Linked DNA regions of Pelodiscus sinensis. The protein of the gene in region 1 interacts with the protein of each later gene in a pairwise test. Links are inferred from orthologs where the notes say so. Each region holds a gene or a part of one and is shown on either strand. Other genes may lie near its edges. The genes, in order: ZCCHC10, SFMBT1 and PRR13.

Region 1 (7,528 bases):
GGACCTACCTCCGCTGCGGCTCTACATTTAAAGTGTATTAGGAGCCAGGCGGGCAGGCAGCCCGGCTCAGTTCCGGCTTGTGCTGGGTTCAGGAGCTCAGACCCCTTAGACAGGGGCTGCTGGAACCCCATGCTGCTGCCTCTGTATCATAGGCAACAGTGTGGGCCAACAGGCAACCAGTCCATGAGGGGAGCTGGTTTTTAAACTGGTTCCCCTCATGGACCAACTCTCACCTGGTACTCTATGCTGATACAGAGGCAGCAGAGCAGAGTGGCAAGGGACTCCCTGGGAACGAGGCCAGAGCACACACTGCCAGCCCCACCTTGCGGACTACAGAATAGTCGAGTAACCAGTAAGAATTCATGAGGTTAATTGACTATTCATTTATGTTATTTAACATCCCTACTTTGGTCAAGTTACTTTAAGATGACCTGAACAATTTAAAAAGAAAAATGTAGGCTTGTCCTTTTTTTGTGAGCACTACTATAGATGTGTGAGTAAAAGAGACCTGAAATGATTTTTTCTGCCCTTCCTGTTTTTAAACTTTAGAACGTTCTGTGTTTTTCCTACTTGGGGACCTCATGAGTCTCTCAGGATACATCTACACTACAAAGTTTTATCACTAAAAATTGCCTTTTAGAGAGACAACAGCGAGAACATTCACACAACTTTTACTGGGGAAAAATACCTAGTTTCAGCATCAAAAAACTTTCACTCAATGAGAGACCTTTTTCTTTTTTCCTGGTACAAAGAAATACTAAGAGGCAACATAGATTCTACTGTGTGTTTTGTCCAGGATAGAACTGGCTCCCGCCAATATCCCACAATGCCTCCCCTGATGGCTCTGTTCAGTGTTTTGTTCTCTGCTGTCTTGTAGGCATGCACGCCTCCCCTTTGAAAGCTCTGGGAAGTATCTGACAGCTCAGTGAGCTATTCAGTTTGGGGAACAAAGAATAAATCATTGGAATGCTCCTGTTCTGCCCTGCAATAGGAAGACAGCATCAGGCAGACTGCTGCTGCATGGGGAAAGAGGCAGCATTCCTCAGCATGGAGAGTAATCAATCAATAAGGTAGGAAGCCTGAGGAAACCAAGGGCTCCTGGCAGGGCTGGGATCCAAGGCAGTGCTAAGCAGGGCAGGGATAGGAGGAATTCTGACACACGAGGCTGGTTGGACTGAAGGCAGCAGTTGCCCTGGAGACTAATGCTCAGATCAAACTCAGCGGTGCTGCCCACTGCAAAAGTGGGAGGAGAGGGCCACACCTATCTGCCCTTCCACTCTCACCACTGAAACAGAGCTACTCGTGATGATGCCCCATCAGCTGAGGATGCTGAGAGAACTAAAAGAATCACAAGGTGTGCAGGGTTCAGCTCTGCCTTCCCACAACACTGCACTGTGGGATACATACCCACAGCGCATTGCTCACAGTGTCGATGATGGTGTCCCCAATGTGGACTTGATCTGTCAAAACAGGGAGCAACTGTGAACAATTTTTGTTTTGTCTACTTTTAGGTGTAGACATTCCCTCAGATAGGTGTATTGTGACATCTTACACCTTCACTGACGGGTTTGGGTGTAGAACCATTAACAATTTGTGAAAAGAATGCATGACTGATTAGACATTAATGTTAATTATTCAAAATTGGAGTTTTAAACAATCAGAGTTTGTCTTCACTTTAACTGTTTTAACACAGTGCAGTCACAGCAAAAGTGCTAGGAGAACACTTGTTCAGCACTTTAAGTAAACTACCTCAAAGAAGGGAGACGCTAATAGTGCTGAAAGCAGGGCAGCACTATCCACACTGGTACTTTACAGCACTGTAACTTGGTGCGTGTGGTGGGGGGAGGGCGGAGTTCACATCCCTAAGCAGAAAATTACATTGCAGTAACTTGCCACTGTAGGCAAGCCTTGACTAAGACATCCTTCCCCTCTCATTCAGCTTTCATTCTTGATTATTACAAATACCATCCATTTGCTACTTCTTCCATCACCCTAGTCTGGACACTCAAGACCTCAAATTCTGGTGTAAAAAAAAAAAAAAAAAATATCCTCAACTTCTGAAGAGGGACAAAAACCCAATGCCATGCAACCTCTTTGTTTATCAAGTTTCTGATATATAAACTAATGGTACTTAGCTATCTCACGCCGATATGTAAAAAATTTCTATTATTCCTGCAATGGCCTGTTGCAGAAGCTCCGTACCATGCTCAACTTAATCTTCCATACTGCAATACAGAATCTGTTTTCAGAAACCAGCGAGCAGCAGGCCTGCCCCAGTTCGCGGTGAGCGCAGGGTGACTAGAGTTTGCGTTGGGCTAGACAGGGAAGAGCTTCCTCCCAGACAGATGCATCGCTTCGCTTTCAAACAAGAACCATCTGCTCGCACGCTACAGCCCTTTAACCGTGGGGCTGCGCGTCAGAGGCTGCGGAGACGAGGGGTCCTGTACACACGCCGCGCATCATTTACTGCCCTTCGCCGCCTGTACCAGCGCTCCTCTGGCAAACGCCGCGAGCCCGGCCAGCCGCCGCTACCTGCCCCCCGCAGGGCTGGCTCCACACCCAACCCGCACGCTCTCCGGGACGGGTGAAGGCAGCGAGACCTCCCCATACACGGGCCGCAGCGACCCCCGCGGCTCCCCTCCCAGGAGAGCCCACGTCCCTGCGGCTTCCCCGCCAAGACAGCCCCCCTCTCCCGTGCCCGCTGGACGCCGCTTCTCCCGGGCTGCCCCTCGGGGAGCCGCTGTCTCCGGGGACGCTCCCTTAGCCCGGCGCACTCACGCCTGCCGCCGAGCGATGAGTCGGTGCATGGGAGTCGCCATCTTAGCCCCTGGCCGGGAAGTGAGGCGAGCAGAGAAGGGCCCGCCGCGCTGCATGCCGGGCAATTCCGCCCTTCTCCGCCTTCCCCATTGCGGGAGAAGCCGGCCGCTGTCTACCATAAAGAGCCAGGCTTCGGGCGGCTAGAGAAGACGCGCTTTGGGGCCCGTCCTCCACTTCGTCTCTACTTCTCCGGGCGGGGCAGCTTCCTGCGAAGCGGAAGCTCCGGTGGCTGGCTCTTTGCTGGTCCTCCAGCGCGCTCTCCTGCTTCCCAGGCTTCTGCCCCTTCCCTGGGCCACGTGAAACTCTCTCCCGTGCCCTTCCCCACTGACCTGGGGAGATGCGTAGGCACCAGCTGCTACCTTGTTTTGTATACAGATGCGTAGGCACCAGCTGCTACCTTGTTTTGGACTTGTGCTGGTCTATTCATGCTTCTCAGCCTCACACTGATGGATTTGACTTGTTTCTCTGTCCTGCATAAAGTGACTTTTGTGTTCTCACTGGCCGCAGATACTGGGCTGGATGGACCTTTGGTTTGACCCAGTATGGTCATTCTTATGTTCTTTCTCCTTCTTATGGGCTGTAGGACTATTATAATCACAAATGAAGGCGCTTTCCTGGCCCTCTACATTAAATATTAGTTGAAGACAAACAATTATCCCAACACGCTTGATGTTGAAAAAAGTATAATGCATTGTTTACCTGTCCAATGTTTACCTTGAGCAATGTTAAGCCTGTAATTTTATCAGTTTCTCTGTGGGGTTTCTGCAGACTAAGTACAACATAAATTACAGGTAATGACTTCTATGAAAATATTATAAATCAGGTTCTTTTTCAAATCAAGACGGACCCTTGTGTGTCAGGATCTGTAGTCACAGGGCACATTGAAGACAGAGATTATTAGTTTCCTTATGGGCTTCCTCTATGGTGCTCATCACTATAGCATCCAGGTGCTTCACAAACACCAGTTTCTTTATCTTCACAAAGCTCCTGTGAGGTTCAAGCAAGGTATGCCCAATTTACAAATAGGGACCAGAGACTAAGGTCAATAGGTCAATAATTTAGGCCCTATTTGAGATGCCCAATTTTTTCAAAGTACTTAGCAATATATAGAACTTTGTATGTTAAAAGCAGAACTCCCATTGATTTCACATGCATATGTGAGTGCTTTGCACTTCTGTGTATCAGACCCAGGGGTCTGCAGTTGGGTACCCAGAAAATAAGGAGCAATTAGTGACTACCTATACAAAGTTGGGTTTATATGACTTGCTTTGTGCTATGGACACAGTCAGAAAAAGCACTGAGAACATGGCCCCATGGAAAACAATGACAAAGCACTTTGGGGCAAAGTGCTGACTAGAAAAAGTAGCTTGGATAGTTAAGCCAGGACACTCTCCTTTATTTGACTTCCACTTTGTGCAAGGAAACAGGACTTTGTAAATAGATTGGATTATATCATACACACACCCGATTCCATCACCAACTTCTCCTCCCAATTGAATAAGACCCAAATTCTTGGATAACTTAGGGTTGAAAACTCTCCTGAGTGGACAGACTAGATGCCATTTGTAGTAATGGCATCCAGTTCATCCTCTCCGAGAGAGTTGGAAACCCTAGGATAACTGCCCATTCAAAAGGGATAACAACTGGTCTTGTTTCCCAGTGCTTGTACTGACTCCATACATGGCTTGGCCTAAGAGTTCCTGTATGATACTAGGCAAAGTGTTACCACTTTGTGTTTTTGTTAGGCTCTAGAGACACTGTCAGTATAAATGTATATAACACATTTCACACATACTCACATGCTATATTTTGCACAATGAAGTGTACCCTTCCTGTGGATTGCTGGGTTTTCTTAGGTTGTTTATATTTTTAAATATATACAACTACTAGATGAATGCACCTCAACTCTGAGCCAATCCAGTGTTCCTTTGGTTTGTGTGCAGATGAAATCTACCAATACGAACTCTTGACACTCATACAAGTTCTTCCCTCTATCAGTTCATTTCAACCAATAGAATTGCAGTATACAAATGAGGTGGGGAAGAAGAGTGATTATTGGTTGAAGTACCTCTGATTCAAGTGCTGCCAATTAAAAATTGTTTAAACTATAGGCAGATACTTGACTGTAACCGTACAATTTATAATTGTTTCCTCACATAGTTCAGAATAATTGCATACTAGCCTGTATACAAACTGACAAGGAAATTTAAATGTTGAAAGTTTGTCTCTGCAGAGACAGTTTGGCTTTGAACAAGGAAGATCCAAGGATACACCAGACAGTCCTCAAATTTAAAAAAGGAGTCATTTAACTAATTGGGAGTCCTAATGTTCAAAGTGTTTACTTGTAACTTTCCCAAAAAATGCTATCTCCCCCCTAAATGTGTATGTGTGTGTTGATTTTTATCAGGCCCAGCCTTTATATCTCGCCATAACAGAAAGAATAGTACCCTACTTCAAACAAAAAGCTTAAACCCTGCATCAAATATGGAGCCAGGATTTATGGGTCCATAATATAGTAAATAAATGATCTCTCCAAAGAATGGGTATATACCATTTCAATAAGCCACATTTACCTGTATAATTAATGTTATAATTGATTGTAAATAAATATAATTCTGATTAATTACAAGGCAGGTTTTTTGCACACTCTAAAGGGCCCACAAAGAATGGAGTCCTCACCTATGCCAGCAGCAGACATACAATGTGTATTTTATTAATAATAGGACCCTCTTGATGCAGTGGCAACCAATTAAATGTTGCCTATAGCAGATAAGTTAATAAAAAGTTTTGTTAGATAAACATTTCCAGCTCATCAGAGTTAATTGTATGACTCATTCCTGAATCTAATGGCAGTTCCAAGTTCTAAACATTTCAATTGTAATGTCTAATGCCTGGTTGCTGTTGCCCTATGCGTCACGTGTCATACTATATGGGGCTTTATCTGGCTTCTAATCCCTGTCTCCCTTTGGGTGATACCTTGTGTTAATCTGTGACTACTCACATCTGACTCTGGCATTTTTTAAAATTTCTGACCTCCAGTATCTGCGATGCCACTTGTAATTCTCTTTTGTGGCATTTAACTCTTGTTTTCTGAATTTACTGCCAGTACCTGGTGTTTAGCCTGAATCTATCTTCTGATGGTGAAAGTAAGGAAGAACTTTTGATTCCAGGACAGAGTTACTAACACTTTCTTAAAACAAGATAGATGAAAACGTACCTTTGTAACAGTCAATAATTTATCAGTTGTGTCTGCTGCTAGCTCTTAACCACTTTTATCTAATACTGTTCAGAAATCTTGGGCTTCTCCATGGCACTTCATCAAAAGGAATAGGCAAATATCTTGTTGTGGTCCTATTCAAAGATTTAACATTCTTCCCCTCCATATTTTTCCAGCATATATATTCCTCATGAAAGCAAGATATCAGATTAATGGTACTGAGACTAGAGTTTTCTGTTTATCACAGAACTAGAACAGTCTGGGAAGCAAGAGTACACATAGTCCTGCAATGGACCAAGTCTAAAGGTGAAAGAGTGGTTAAATCCCCATAGACATTGACCATATCTCCTTTGTAAAGACTGCCCTATACTAGTTCCAAGTGTGATGGTGACATTAGTGTCAGAAATGTCTGCCCCTAGGATTTGAACTGACATCTACCAAATTCATTTTCCAAAAGTCACCACCAGGACCAACCCACAACATTCTTGCACCTGAGGCAGGGAGCTCAAATGACGCCCCCATTTCTCCTGCATGCCTGTTATGTCTCTTTTGCCCTCCTTCCTCCAGCACAGCACTCCACCATCTCTGTGCATCTAGAGCGGAGAGAATACATATGAAACAGCAGCAGATACAATTTTCTACACTCTGGGTCCTAGTGGCTCCCTCCCATAGTTTGGCACCAGAGGCGACTGCCTCATAGTAAGGCCAGCCCTGGTCACCACCAGATAGAATATAAATGGTAGAGAAGAGGCTCATGCAACAAAGAAATTATAAGCCTGAAGAACACAATAGGACAGTGGAGCTTTTGGCAGTGTTGGATTGTGGGGCTGGGAGCAAGGAAGAAAATAGGTTTCTTTCTTTCTGTGGGATCAGGTTGGGAAGTGGAAGAAGTGATGGACTCTTCGGGTATGTCTACACTTGCAGCCTAATTCGAAATAGGGCTGCAAATGTAGGCATTTGGGATTGCAAATCAAGCCCAGAATCTAAATATCCCGTGCTTGATTTGCATGTTCTTGGCCGGGTGCCATCTTTGAAATTGATAAGCCCGGAATAACTGCCCGCGTCTACAAGCGGCAGTGAAATGGGCGTTCGAAATAATCAAGCTCTTTCTAATCAAGTACATTTATTCTGAAGCTGAAAGCAGAGAAAACATAGGAAAACATATGAGACTGAGAAAACATATGAAAAACAATAAGCCTGCGTCTAGACTGGTATGATTTGCGAAAATACTTTTAACGGAAAAGTTTTTCCGTTAAAAGTATTTCTGCAAAAGCGCGTCTAGATTGGCACAGATGCTTTTGCGCAAAAAGTGCTTTTGCACAAAAGCATCCGTGGCCAGTCTAGATGCAATTTTGCGTAAGAAAGCCCCAATCGTCATTTTAGCCATCGGGGCTTTTTTGCGCAAAACAGTTCTTTCCTGTCTACACTGGCCCTCTTGTGCAAGTATTCTTGCACAAGAGGGCTTTTTCCCGAGTGGGAGCGTGAAAGTATTTG
Region 2 (7,123 bases), on another chromosome or scaffold:
GGGTTACATGAGTCGCCCACATTATCTCACTCTCTACTCGCATGAGAGTAAAATGTTCGATTGCCACAGGCACCAGAAGAAGCTCCGATTCATTAATGCTAATTGCAGGTTTCCAAGCCATGGCTGTAATTGTTTACAATTGTAGACGTCTGGTATTTTGCTTTCAGTGTTGGCTCATTTGATGCAATTATCCTCTTTGTGTCTTTCGTTTAGGCAAGTAGAATAGAGGAATTCTAGTGCCCCTTGAATTTGACAAGTCAGATGAGAAACTGCTTTCAAATCAGGAATTCAGATAATGGAGACGAGCCTGAAAGAGTTCTGACTCACTTCGAGATTCCATACCTAGCCAAAGGCCTCGTTTTGGTTCGGAGGAATCAGAGCCATATTCAGTACAAGAAAGGCTAGAAAATGCAGTCCAAGTCGTAGTTCTCCTAGTAATCCACAATGAAGGGAATAAACAGTAGCTAACCTGTGCTTCGTTCCTGATGTATCTTTGTAGTCTCTCCTTCTGCTTCTCCCACCCGTTCCTCTGCTACTGGCTTTACTTGTTTTCTCTCATAATTCCCTGCTGCTCTCTACTTTCAATACCATTAAGTAGGATTTAAAATGTACTGTTTGCAAAGAAAAAGAATGAGTTCATTTTCGGCAACAGCCCTTTTTATGTGGCGAGGTGGAGGGCTAATAGTGAAAGTAGTTATGTAGCCATTCATGACAGACATTTTGAGGCAACATAGAACCAAAGAAAACCACACAGTGTAGGGTTGCCAGGTGTCTGGTATTCATAGAATCACAGAGCTGGAAGAGACCTCAGAAGGTCATCAAGTCCAGCCCCCTGCTCTACACAGGACCAATCCCAACTAAATCAACCCGGCCAGGGCTTTGTCAAGCCAAGACTTAAACACCTCTAGGGATGGAGACTTCACTACTTCCCTAGGGAACCCATCCCAGTGCCTCATCACCCTCCTAGTGAAATAGTTTTTCCTAATATCCACCCTGGACCTCTCTCACCACAACTTGAGACCATTGCTCCTTGTTCTGCCATCTGTCACTACAGAGAACAGCCTCTCTCCATCCTCTTTGGAACCTCCCTTCAGGAAGTTGAAGGCTGCTATCAAATCCCCCCTCACCGGACAGTTTTTGAACTGGACAGCCCAGTATTTGCACCTTCTGGCCAGCAAAAAAATTCAGAAAATACTGGACATGTACAACTGGTATTTTCTGTTTTTCCTGGCTCAGATGTCCGACAGAAGGGCAGTTGGGACACATGGTGCAGCTCGGGTTGGCTGGGGGAGGACGGAGCGGTCCAGGAATTAAAAGGGCTACAACCGTATTTCGGCCCCGATAAGTCCTTTTTTTGCTCAACAAGTTTTTCTGTGTTTTTGTTTTTTTCTCTTTTTTTGCTCAACAGAATTTTTTCCCATGGGGGGGAGCGGGGAGAAATTCGGTAATTTTTGTTAAACCATCTGGCAACCCTACATAAGTGTCATTGAGATTGGAAAAGCAGCCCTTTTAGAAACCATTCTACTGCAAAGGCCTTCCTCTTTGATTGCTTAATACAGGGACAATTTGCAGAATTATGCTTGATGTTATCCAACATGGGCATAGAAAACAAGTCTTTTTAAAGGCCTATGCCAGCTGCAAATATTTCTCACACACGCAAACAAACCCATCGTAGGGGACTTTAAAAAAACAAAAACAAACAAAAAATCCCAAACAGTTGCTGAGTTGTTCTTCTAGTTGTCGAGTTATTCTTACTTGATTTGGAGATAGCTGCCTCCGCTATCAAAGGAGGGAGGTGGTCTCATCTGCTATGTCTACAATTTGGGATATCTCAGTATCCCGATACAGCTACTCTGCATCTTTGAAACACACCCATTATTTCAACATGTTTTTTGAAATAATGGGCATGTTATTTCACCATCCCTGTAAACCTCATTGCACAAAGGTTAAGTGTGTTGAAATAGCGCGTCTACACAGCGCCAAATTTCAAAATAGCTTCTTTCAAATTTATTTGTATAGATACGAATTGCATATCTTATTTTGGGTTCAACATGCTGTGCAGACACACCCACAAGCATGGTCTGTTGTACAGGATACACAACACATATTTAATTCATTTAGCTGACAAGGATGTGTGTGCATCCCTGACATAACCAGGCAGAGGATCAAATTGATTAGAAAAGAGAAAGCATCTCATCAAACATCAACCCAGCAGTAACCAGCAATTCTTAGGAAATAAAGCAAAAAATGTGATCGCTTGCTGAGGTTAATGGCAAATACTATGACAGTAAGTTTTTTAAGATGAACTGAAAAGGAAAATGCCACCTACAGATTCTAGTATATCATGTATGTGGTACACAAACAAGTTTTCATGGTAATAGAATGTACTCTGCAACAGCTAACTTAATATACATATGTTGTAACCAGGTCTAAGTAAAGTAACTACCAGTTTATACCTTTCCTGCATATTTTATGGTTTGTACAACTGGCAACACTGAATGAATTCTGACTCACACCAGGGAAATGCTGAATATAAAAGCATGCTTTCAGAACAGCACGGCCAGTAGCCAGTCAACTCTCTTAACTGGCTTACCACATTTTATAAACATCAAACAAAATTCAGGCATCACGTCAGCTATTTAGTAAGGCATCACCCGATGGTACCCCAACTGAACCTGGTACTTCATGCAGTAAAAAAAATCAAATGTTCCTACCTTGATACGTGTATATATAACCAAAGTTGAAAAACAAATATAAAATCAAATGCATTCGTGCCAAAACATTAATGTGCCTGCCACCTGATAAAACTAATGTCCAATATTATGAAACTGACGGAACATGTCCAATTCTGCACGTTCGAAGAGGAGTTCATCTAGTGAACCAGCCATAAGATCTGATGTGGAATACTGAAGTAGCTCAACTTTTTAGTCACATTCCTGCAAAGCTTTCTTCACAGCAACCATCCCATTGGCTTGCCTGAAACTAAACACATGAATAAGAAAGGGCTGCTTACATGAGTACGTGCCTGGGAGGTAGGTTGTGTTGCATTTTACGGCTGTAGGGCAGAAGCACATGTGTAAGTAGATCAGAATGGAGACACTGTGACCACACAGCTACATGTAATACTACGTAATAAGGGGAAGTGATAGTATAATGTAAAAAATGCAAAAATTTGAAAACAAGAAAACAGGAAAACCAATGCGACCACAATCTGAGCTTACTCTCCAGCAATGAGCAATGGCAATACAAACAACAGTTCTCTAACCTCAGTGTACGGGGGCCAGTCCACAAGCACTGTGTTCCATAGTAACGATGAAGTGCAAAAAGACATTGTTTTTGTTGAAAGCCGACTGTTCTTGGATGGTTCACATACATGAAATGGAAACTGTACCTGGTCTACTGACTGTACGTAGAATGTTTGTCATTAACCCTATTGAAGGAAATATGCATCTAATATTGCTAGGCAATGTTACAATTCAACTGGTATTGATTTCTACTGGATGGGGCACTGGACAAGGATTTGGGAGACCAGGCTCTATTTCTGCCTCTGACGTGACCTTTGGTAATCACTTCATCTCAGACATCACCCTCTTATTTGGCCCCATAGCGCAAGCCTCATGGTCATCCTTGCACAAGCTCTTTCGCTCTACGCAAGAAAATAATTCCTGTTGCTGAGTGTAGCTTATTCCCACCCTACCCTGCAGGCAGCCCCTAGATCAGCTGACCTGAATGCTACCTTTATTCTATTTTCAGTCCTGAAGAAATGAGCATTTCAAAGTTAGCATGTACTTGCAGTGCTGACAGCAGTAAGGCACAAAAATACCCATGTGGGAGGAAACAGATGTGTGATTAAGCCACAGAAGAGCTCCATCATCTCACAGCCAGAGGTGTGGGAGAGCTCAGGGTATGATTCTTACCATCAGATACAGGCAGTTTAACAGAGCAATGAGAAGAATTTGGCCTGGATTGTCAAGGGAAATGTTCTTGACGATGTAGTAGATTAGGCTGTGAAACAGTCACCGAAAGGAAGTGTCGTCACCCCTTCACTTGGGACTTTTTAACGCGAAATTGGGCAATGTGTTAAAAAATGCAATGATGGGAACAGTCCTGGACTGGCTTGGAGATTGACAGGATGATCTAATGGCTCTTCTCCCCCTCTCTGGCTGCCATGACAATACAAACCCTCACCAATATACTGTAATATGAAGGGTTTGGCTTCTTGACACGAGTCTGGAATGTCAGAGCTAAGACTGCCATGCTAACTTTATGCTCTTCTCCCAAAAGTTTTAGGGCCTGAGCCTTCACACCCCCAACACTTTAATATGTGAGTTCAGGTCTCAAGCTATGACTGAGGCCTTGCCCAATCCTTGTGTATTTTAGCACAACACCACTTGATTTTAGGGGCATACATGAGACCAGTTCTGATGGTTTTAGATTTGTTTGTGTTTTCTGACCTTTGATTTTTAAGGAATCTTACATAAAAACTGCCCATCTTAGCACTCCATCCCCGCCAGCTGGAACCTCCCTGAGAGCAAAAATGCAAGATCCAAAGGATTCCAAAAAGAGTTATGCACTAGACACTGGCTGAAATTCTCTAGCCACATGGTCTTGTACAAAAGTACTCTAATATGCAGCGGCGGATTTAGGGCAGGGTGAGCGGGGCGGCTGTCCCGGGCCCCGCGCTTCCTGAGGCCCCGCGCATGCGCCTTGGCACCACAGCGCATGCGCTGTGTCAAAGGGGGGGGGGCATGAAATGTTGCTGCCCGGGGCCCCGCGGCGCTGCCCTGGGCCCCGTGGCACTCTCATCCGCCCCTGCTAATATGGTATGTACTGAGCTGACGAGTCTGAGGAAATGGTCAGAATGGTCTATATTAGGGCTGTCAAGCAATTAAAAAATGAATCAGGATTGTGTTGTTAATAATAGAAAACCATTTATTTACATAGTTTTGAATTTTTTTACATTTTCAAATGACACAGAATATGAAGTATACAGTGTTTACTTTATATTTATTTTTATTACAAAGTGAAATCGTATTACAAATCGTGAAAAACAAAAGAAATTGTATTTTTCAATTAACCTAGTACAACTATTGCAGAAGCAATTTCTTTATCATGAAACTTGAAATAATGTAGAATTAAGTACAAAAAAACCTTCCTTCAATAATAAAACAATGTAAAACTTTAGGGACTAGAAAGTCCACTCAGACCTACTTCTTGTACAGCCAAATGCTCATTCAAATAAGTTTGTTTACATTTGCAGGAGATAATGCTGCCTACTTCTTGTTTACAATGTCATCTGAAAGTGAGAACAGGCATTCGCATGGCTCTGTTGTAGCCAATGTCGCAAGATATTTATGTCAGATAGCTGAGATATGCTAAAGATTCATATGACCTTTCATGCTTCAACTACCTTTCCCTACATCCATGCTGATGACAGATTCTGCTAATGACAATCCAAAGCAGACTCAATTGATGCATTTTCATTTTCATCATCTGAATTACATGTCACCAGCAGATTTTTCTTTTTGGTGGTTTGAGTTTTACTCTTTTAAGATGTCTCAAAGCTTGCTTTACACTTTATACCGCTCACATTTTGGACAGCACTTCAGATTCGTAAATGTTGGGTTGAGTGCTGTAGCTATCTTTAGAAATTTCACAGTGCAATTTGCATTTTCTTCCTCACATTTTGTCAAATCTGCAGAGAGAGTTCTTAAAATGAAAAACATGCTGGGTCATCATCTGAGACTGCTATAACATGAAATATATGGCAGAATATGGGTAAAACAGCAGGAAATATACAATTCTCTCCCAAGGAGTCCAGTCATAAATTTATTTAATGCCTTATTTTTAACGAGTGTCATCAGCATGGAAGCATGTCCTCTCAAATGGTGGCTGAAGCCTGAAGAGGCAAATGAATATTTGGCATATCAGGCATGTAAAAATCTTGCCATGCCAGCTACAAAAGTGTTACGTGAATGAATGGCTGTTCTCACTTTCAGGTGTCATTGTAAATAAAAAGCAGGCAGCATTATCTTCTGCAAATGTAAACAAACTTATTTGTCTGTGTGATTGGCTGTACAAGAAGTAAAACTCTAAAGTCATTATACATACACACACACATATATGAATACAATTTTGTAACAAAAAAATATCTAGGGCTGTGTCTAGACTGGCAAGTTTTTCCGCAAAAGCACTTGCTTTTGCGCAAAAACTTGACAGCTGTCTACAATGGCCGCTTGATTTTGTGCAAAAGCACTGACATTCTACTGTCCAAAATCAGTGCTTCTTGCGCAAATGCTTTGACGTTCCTGTTCAGGCAAAAACCCTTTTCCGGAAATGTTTTTGCGCAAGAGGGCCAGTGTAGACCGCTAAAAACTGTTTTGCGCAAAAAAGCCCCGATGGCGAAAATGGCGATCGGGGCTTTCTTGCACAAAACCGCATCTAGAAGTGCTTTTGCGGAAAAGCGTCCGTGCCAATCTAGACGCTTTTTTTCCGCAAATGCTTTTAATGGAAAAACTTTGCCAGTCTAGACGTAGCCTAAATGTATAAGTTTCACTTTCACAATAAAGAGATTGCACTATAGCACTGGTATGAATTGAAAAATACTGTTTCTTTTGTTTATCATTTGAACAATACAATTATTGGCAATTAAACTAAAGTGAGCACTGTGCACTTTGTATTCTGTGTTTTAACTGAAATCAACATATTTGAAAATATAGAACATCCACTTATGTAATACATTTCAATTGGTATTCTATTGTATATCAGTGCAATTAAAGCTGTAATTAATCATGATAATTTTTGAAATAATTATTTGAATTAATTGTAATTTATCAACGGTCCTTGTCTTTATATACATTTATATTCTCCCTAAAGGAAGTCTGTGATTGATTTGCTCATTAATACATTTTCCCTTTTGTTACAATCGCAAATTGGATATTTCTGGGATGTCAGCAAAATATCAACCTAGCCACATTCAAGTAAGAAGCTAATTTTGCTCGTTGCTTGAGTCTCCCAGATGAAAGGGAACCTGGTGGCAATTAGCCTGCAATTCTGAAAACTGGGCTGTTGTGCTTAAGTCACTGATGTTACATAGGAGATTTATGTAATTTTTCACTGACCA
Region 3 (7,186 bases), on another chromosome or scaffold:
TTGGATTTTCTATAGCCCCAGCCAACCTGCCTCCCACGGCGCTAGGGCGACCGGCTGCAGCCGCCAGGGTGGCCCGGGAGCCCTCGGGGAGAGAGTTACGCAAACTCCCGGCAAGCGGACGGAGGCGGAGTGACGGCCTGGTGCAGCTAGGAGAGCAGCCTTTTCACCGTGAGAGCCCCGGCCCTTGGGGGGATCCCTGCGGCCTGGGCAGCTAATCCTGTTTCACTCCACAGCCGGGGGCCGCTCCTCAGAGGGTCACGGGAAAAGACCAGCTCAGGAGCGGGAATCTTCCCCCTTGCACTCTGCAGCGTCCTGCCGAATCTGCCCCCAGCCCCCTTCCCAGGGAGCAGCCACGCCGCGCCGGGCGAGCGCCAAACCTGCCGCTTTGGAGGGGCCCTGCTGGGGCAGAGAGCAGGCGAGCGTCAGAGGGGAGGCCAGAGGAGCAGCGGAGAACCCCGCCAGCGCGCCCAGCACCCCTCACCTGCGTTGGGATCCCACATGCTCAGAGAGGAGGCGTCTCCGGTCACCTGGAGGGGGAGAGAGGCTGTGAGGCAAAGCGGGGGTCAGCCAGGCCTCGGGCAGGGGGGGGCCCTAAAGGAGATCAGGGCCCACCCTTGAGGCTGCTGCCTGCCTAGACCCGGGCGCCCCGCTGGCAACACAGCCTGGGGGTCCAGCCCTGGCAACAAAGGGCGGAAGGGGAGTCCGGAGAGGGGCAGCGATTTGCCCCAGGTCCCCTGGCAGGGGTCTGCTAGCGCAGCGCTCAGCCACCGGCCCCACGGCCGCCACGGGGGGGTCAGGGCCCTGGTCCCCTCCCGCCCCGCGGGCCCCAGGCACAGGGGCGACCGGCAGGAGGCAGCAGCTGCCGCTTTCTCCCCTGGAGCCCCAGCCCCGGGTCGGACAACGTGGCCTGGGGGCTCGGAGCCGGCGGAAGTTCAGTGTCAGCCCCCCCCCGCCCCCCCCAGCAGGGGCAGTTCAGTGTCAGCCCCCCCCCGCCCCCCCCAGCAGGGGCAGTTCAGTGTCAGCCCCCCCCGCCCCCCCGAGCAGGGGCAGTTCGGTGTCAGCCCCCCCCGCCCCCCAGCAGGGGCAGTTCGGTGTCAGCCCCCCCCCGCCCCCCCGAGCAGGGGCAGTTCGGTGTCAGCCCCCCCCGCCCCCCCGAGCAGGGGCAGTTCGGTGTCAGCCCCCCCCGCCCCCCCGAGCAGGGGCAGTTCGGTGTCAGCCCCCCCCCGCCCCCCCGAGCAGGGGCAGTTCGGTGTCAGCCCCCCCCCGCCCCCCAGCAGGGGCAGTTCGGTGTCAGCCCCCCCCCGCCCCCCCAGCAGGGGCAGTTCGGTGTCAGCCCCCCCCCGCCCCCCCCGAGCAGGGGCAGTTCGGTGTCAGCCCCCCCCGCCCCCCCCAGCAGGGGCAGTTCGGTGTCAGCCCCCCCCCGCCCCCCCCAGCAGGGGCAGTTCGGTGTCAGCCCCCCCCCGCCCCCCAGCAGGGGCAGTTCAGTGTCAGCCCCCCCCCCCGCCCCCCAGCAGGGGCAGTTCAGTGTCAGCCCCCCCCCGCCCCCCAGCAGGGGCAGTTCAGTGTCAGCTCCCCTCCACCCCCCCGAGCAGGGGCAGTTCAGTGTCAGCTCCCCCCGCCCCCCGCAGCAGGGGCAGTTCAGTGTCAGCCCCCCCCCGCCCCCCCCAGCAGGGGCAGTTCAGTGTCAGCCCCCCCCGCCCCCCGAGCAGGGGCAGTTCAGTGTCAGCCCCCCCCGCCCCCCCCAGCAGGGGCAGTTCAGTGTCAGCCCCCCGCCGCCCCCCCCCAGCAGGGGCAGTTCAGTGTCAGCCCCCCCCCAGCAGGGGCAGTTCAGTGTCAGCCCCCCCCGCCGCCCCCCCGAGCAGGGGCAGTTCGGTGTCAGCCCCCCCCCGCCATCCCCCAGCAGGGGCAGTTCAGTGTCAGCCCCCCCCGCCCCCCCAGCAGGGGCAGTTCAGTGTCAGCCCCGCCCGCCCCCCGAGCAGGGGCAGTTCAGTGTCAGGCCCCCCCAAGCAGGGGCAGTTCGGTGTCAGCCCCCCCCCCCAGCAGGGGCAGTTCAGTGTCAGCCCCCCCCCGAGCAGGGGCAGTTCGGTGTCAGCCCCCCCGGGCCGGGGGGGGTCCATTCAGGGGACAGCGCTTTGCAATTCCCCCCCCCGTTCCCAGCCCCCGCCCTCTGCACAGGAGCCGCCCCGAGCCAAGCGGAACCGGCCGCCCCGCCCGCGCAGGGTCCAAGGGCAGGCGGAGCGCCCCGCCCGTGGCGCTCTGCAAGCGGGGCCGGGGCTCAGCAACGCGGTGCGCACCCACAGCCCGGGGGGGCCACGCCGGAGCCGAACCGATCTAGCCGCCTACAGCAGAGGAGAGTCGGCTCTGGGGCGCAGGAGTTAGGGGGGGGGGAAGGGCTGGATGGGTCCTGACTGGCAGGGCAGGGGATACGCGTACACACAGGGACGGGCGGGGGGGGAGGGGGGACACAGGGGGGAGGGGACGGGGGGGTGCAGGGGGACAGAGGGGGGAGGGGGAGGGGACGGGGGGTGCAGGGGGGCACGGTGCAGGGGGCACAGAGGGGGGAGGGGACGGGAGGTGCAGGGGGACACAGGGGGGGAGGGGACGGGGGGTGCAGGGGGGCACGGTGCAGGGGGCACAGAGGGGGGAGGGGACGGGAGGTGCAGGGGGACACAGGGGGGAGGGGACGGGGGGGTGCAGGGAGACACGGGGGGGAGGGGACGGGGGGGTGCAGGGGGCACAGAGGGGGGAGGGGACGGGGGGTGCAGGGGGGCACGGTGCAGGGGGCACAGAGGGGGGAGGGGACGGGGGGTGCAGGGGGCACAGAGGGGGGAGGGGGGGTGCAGGGGGGCACGGGGGGGGGACGGGAGGTGCAGGGGGGCACGGGGGGAAGGGGACGGGAGGTGCAGGGGGGCACAGTGGGGGGGGGACACACAGACACCCGCCCCCCCTCACTCACCTCGACTCGGCACCGCGCTGCCCAGCTGAGCCCCGCCGGCTTCCTGGAGCGCGGTGGCCCCGCCCCCCGTGACTGTCCGTCACCGCCCGGTGGCCCCGCCCCCCGCGGGCAGGCAGCGGGAGGGGGCGGGGCCAGGCCCGGACTCCTGGGTTCTACCCCGAGGGGTGGGGGGGCGGCAGGGCAGCGCGCCCTAGCGGTTAGCGATGGGCTCGGGCCTCAGGCTGCTGGAGTCTCCCGGGGGTCGCCTGGCCCGGCCTCGGGGGCGCGGGGCAAACTCCGGGAGCAGCAGCCGCAGCGTCTGAGGGGTTTGCGGGTGGCTGTGCCTCAGTTTCCCCGCCAGGGGTACCATCGCCCCTCCACCGTGGGAGCAGGGCACGGCAGGGCGGGGGGCGGACGACGCTCGGGAGGTTCACCCGCTAATGCTGGAGAGGTGCCTCAGAGAGGAGGTGGCGAAGAAATATTCGGGCTCCCGTCTCACACTGGAAATCCACCCTGCGCAGGAGGAAGGGTGGGCCACCAGCCTGAAGATCTGGAGCACAGTCTTGCCTCCGCCACGTTCGTCCCGGGTGACCTGGGGCAAGCCATAGAGTCCGCCCTGGGCCTCAGTTTCCCCACCCATAAATGAGGCTCATGTCCCACGGGGCGGGAGGATAAAACCTGCTGACGTGTCCGGCGCCCAGATGGGAAGCGGTGACAACAGGGGTGGGGCAGAGACCTCCCCCCGCTAGCCCTCACCTTTGTGCTCTTCATCAGCCCATGAAGCTGCCCAGAGGCTCTGCGAGGTGCAGGAGCGAATCGGTGGGAGACAAAGCTTAGGGGGCACCCCTCTGGGACAGCCCTGCCCCCAACACACACTGGCACCAGGGCCTGGCCTGGAGAGATTCGTCAGTATCGAGCCGTGGGTGTGTCCCAAGGGCACAGGCCGGTCCTGGAACGCAGCCCAGTCACACAGCTCTGACGCCGCTGCGGGAAAGCCAGGCTCACCTGGCAGCCGCACCCAGGGCCTTAAGGAGCCTGCTCTGCCCAGGATATTGGGCAGCGGGGCGCTGGGCCTACGGGGGGGGGGAGGGATGTGGAGGAATCTCTGGGGAAAACTGGAAAAGTTTTAGTCATTGGGCTGTTTGCAGGCTGGCTGGAGCAGATGACTGGGCGGCAGGACTCCTGGGTTCTCTCCCTGGCCCACGAAGGGGAGTGGGCCCTAGTGGGCAGGGGAGGGCAGGACCCAGCTGTAATGGCTGTGTTATAGACACAGACTGACCCTGAGGTTTCTGAGACGGGACCGCTGTAAACCCTGGCCTGGAAGGGACGCTGAGCTCCCTAGGGGCTCTGGCTCCCGCTGGTAAGAGGTTCGCAGTGCTGGAGAAATTACGGGCTGGATTCCTGTGGGGCTGAGCTCTGGAAAGCAGCCCTGAGTCCTGCGCCCCCCACTCTCCACCCCCCACAGTCCTGACGCTCCGCCCGGCTGCAGGGACCAGCCTCCTGGACGCTGTGGGGGGACCGGCCTTCTGGACAGAGACTCCGGAGCTGGGGCTGGCTGTGCAGCCAAGGGACGGCTGGAGGGGGGATTTCAGGCTGAGGCTCGGGGCCGATAGGGCAGGCGAGGGCCTAACAGGGGCCTGCGTCGTGGGGGGCTCCTCACCAGGGGCAGAGTTAACGTGAGGGGACGATTTCCTAACGGCCCCGCTGCTCCAGGTGGGAGGTAACTCAGGGCCGTGCCGGCCGGTGGTGGGCAGGCAGCTGAGACGATCACAGGTGGGCCTTTGGGCCTGAGAAACTAGGCAAGAGGACCCCAAACTGCAAGGCAACCCGCCCGGGGAACTAAGGGGGAGGTAGCAGAGCCCAGAGCTAGCCCTGCGACGTGCGAGGGCCCCAGCGGATCCTCAGGAGTCACCCCGGAGTGGGGGGGAAGGGGGAGAGTGACACCCAGTCCCTACTGACTCCGCCTCTAGTCCTGCCTCCACCCCCTCTGTCTCTGCCGCCACTTGACCCCTGATCCCCCCAGCTCAGTCCTGGCCCCAGCACTGAGGAGGCGCAGACAAGGCTAAAGGGGGCAACACCGATCTATGCGCATCCTGCGGCAGTGGATCAGACGGGCTCCAGGCCCCACATCCCCTGACACCAGGGGAGCCCGCGGGCCCGTCTTAGCTCGCCCGTCAACTTCAAAAAGATCTCACCAAACTAAGTGACTGGGCAACACAATGGCAAATGAAATTTAATGTGGAGAAATGTAAAGTAATGCACACTGGAAAAAATAACCCCAATATATAATACAATATGATGGGGGCTAATTTGGCTACAACTAATCAGGAAAGAGATCTTGGAGTCATCGTGGACAGTTCTTTGAAGACGTCCACGCAGTGAGCAGCGGCAGTCAAAAAAGCAAACAGGGTGTTAGGAATCATTTAAAAAGGGATAGAGAATAAGACGGAGAATATCTTATGGCCCTATATAAATCCATGGGACGCCCACATCTTGAATACTGTGTACAGATGTGGTCTCCTCACCTCAAAAAAGATAGACTGGCATTAGAAAAGGTTCAGAGAAGGGCAACTAAAATGATGAGGGGTTTGGAACGGGTCTCATAGGAGGAGAGATTAAAGAGACTGGGACTTTTCAGCTTGGAAAAGAGGAGACTAAGAGGAGGTAGGATCGAGGTCTATAAAATCCTGAGTGGTGTGGAGAAAGTGAATAAGGAAAAGTTATTTACTTGTTCCCATCACATAAGAACTAGGGGCCACCAAATGAAACTAATGGGCAGCAGGTTTAAAACAAATACAAGGAAGTTCTTCTTCACACAGTGCATTGTCAACCTGTGGAACTCCCTGCCTGAGGAGGTTGTGAAGGCCAGGACTAAACAGGGTTTAAAAGAGAACTAGATACATTCATGGATGTTAGGTCCATTAATGGCTACTAGCCAGGCTGGGTAAGGAATGGTGTCGCTAGGCTCTGTGTGTCAGAGGGTGGAGATGGATGGCAGGAGAGAGGTCGCTTGATCATTGCCTGTTCGGTTCACTCCCTCTGGGGCACCTGGCATTGGCCACTGGGGGCAGACAGGACACGGGGCTGGATGGACCTTTGGTCTGACCCCGTCTGGCCGCTCTCATGTTCTTAGTAGACTAGGCTTCAGGCTCAGCTGCATGGCGGCAAGGGGCTTTGCTGCTCGGTGCCTCAGTTTCCCTTCCCACCCAGTGGCCATCACTGCAAGCACTTTGGGGCTCAGGGAGCAGTCAGTCCCGCTTCCTGAGTGTCAACCCCACAGCCCAGAGCCAGGAAGATCAGGAGCCTGGCCAAAGCACCATACTGTGGTACGGGAGTGGCTGCCTCCCAGGGCCCAAGGGAGCGGCGTGTAAGTGAGAGCCACCCTGAGGCCTGGACCCGGAAGACAGGACACGATTCAATGAAGATAAGAGCCGACCACACAGAAATCTGTGGCTAAGCCGCACGGGGGCTCGACCCTTTGATGTGGGGCACACGCCCACGGCCATAGCTTCTGGCCAGGTGGCCTGCAGGCCGGCTCACTGGCCGGATGGGCACCCGGGGGATGGAGAAGAGTCGTGTCAGCTCCACTAGGGGGCAGCCTGCTCAGGCAGCGCCGATCCCATCCAGCAGGGGTGATGGGGGGGGGGTCTGGACAACAGGAGCCGGGCGTGGAGCAGCCGGGGGCACTTCGCTGTCCCTGCCCCCCACGTCCCTCTTCCTCCGTCAGCACCAGCCCAGGGACCGTTCCCAGGCACCGTGTCCCGGGGGCAGCACCTTGGCCAGCTCAGCGCCCCCTGCTGACCACTCAGCCCCCAGGCTCTGGAGCCGCTGGCGGGTGCACTCTGCCGTCAGCCGGGCCTCGGGATCGGGGTCCCAGCAGTCCTCCAGCAGCTCCCGCAGGCCGACGGAGACCTGGGGCAGGAGAGGAGAGCAGAGGGGGTCTCTCAGGGCCTGGGCAGGCCTGGCTGGTGGAGTCGCCCGCAAGGTAACCTCCCACAGCAGAGACAAGACCCCCCCCACCCGTGGCCTGAGGGCAGGACTGGAAAGCCGGGGGCGGGTCACCAAAGGGTCTTGAGCTGGGGGAGTGACGCTACAGAGACGTATTGGGCGCCGGCCCTTTAAATGGGCAGCGTCCTCCCTCCCTCATCCCTGCCCACTCGTGTCCCCCTCCCCGTCCCCATTGTCCCTGCCCCCCCCAAGCCCCAGCACCTGGCCTGCCCGCCTCCAGGCGTCGGGGATGGCTGGCCGCCT

What was found.
Region 2: the proteins of ZCCHC10 (region 1) and SFMBT1 interact in binary tests that used the Homo sapiens proteins (3 or more experiments, as listed by UniProt). The two-hybrid records come from large-scale screens. The link is inferred for Pelodiscus sinensis from reciprocal best matches to the Homo sapiens genes ZCCHC10 and SFMBT1.
Region 3: the proteins of ZCCHC10 (region 1) and PRR13 interact in binary tests that used the Homo sapiens proteins (3 or more experiments, as listed by UniProt). The two-hybrid records come from large-scale screens. The link is inferred for Pelodiscus sinensis from reciprocal best matches to the Homo sapiens genes ZCCHC10 and PRR13.

The regions. Positions count from the first base shown.
Region 1 is NC_134727.1:24,430,831-24,438,358, reverse strand, and holds the start of ZCCHC10 (zinc finger CCHC domain-containing protein 10), read right to left. Parts: upstream 3,047-7,528; 5' UTR 2,937-3,046; coding exon 2,779-2,936; intron 2,163-2,778; exon of another isoform or gene 1,419-2,162; coding exon of another isoform or gene 1,408-1,418; intron 1-1,407.
Region 2 is NC_134721.1:40,537,965-40,545,087, reverse strand, and holds the start of SFMBT1 (scm-like with four MBT domains protein 1), read right to left. Parts: upstream 3,034-7,123; 5' UTR 3,014-3,033; intron 1-3,013. UniProt on the Homo sapiens protein: Histone-binding protein, which is part of various corepressor complexes. Mediates the recruitment of corepressor complexes to target genes, followed by chromatin compaction and repression of transcription.
Region 3 is NC_134729.1:336,417-343,602, reverse strand, and holds the start of PRR13 (proline-rich protein 13), read right to left. Parts: upstream 3,070-7,186; 5' UTR 2,957-3,069; intron 528-2,956; 5' UTR 501-527; coding exon 482-500; intron 1-481. Other genes in the region: AMHR2 (anti-Muellerian hormone type-2 receptor), read right to left, coding at 6,659-6,847, 7,145-7,186. UniProt on the Homo sapiens protein: Negatively regulates TSP1 expression at the level of transcription. This down-regulation was shown to reduce taxane-induced apoptosis.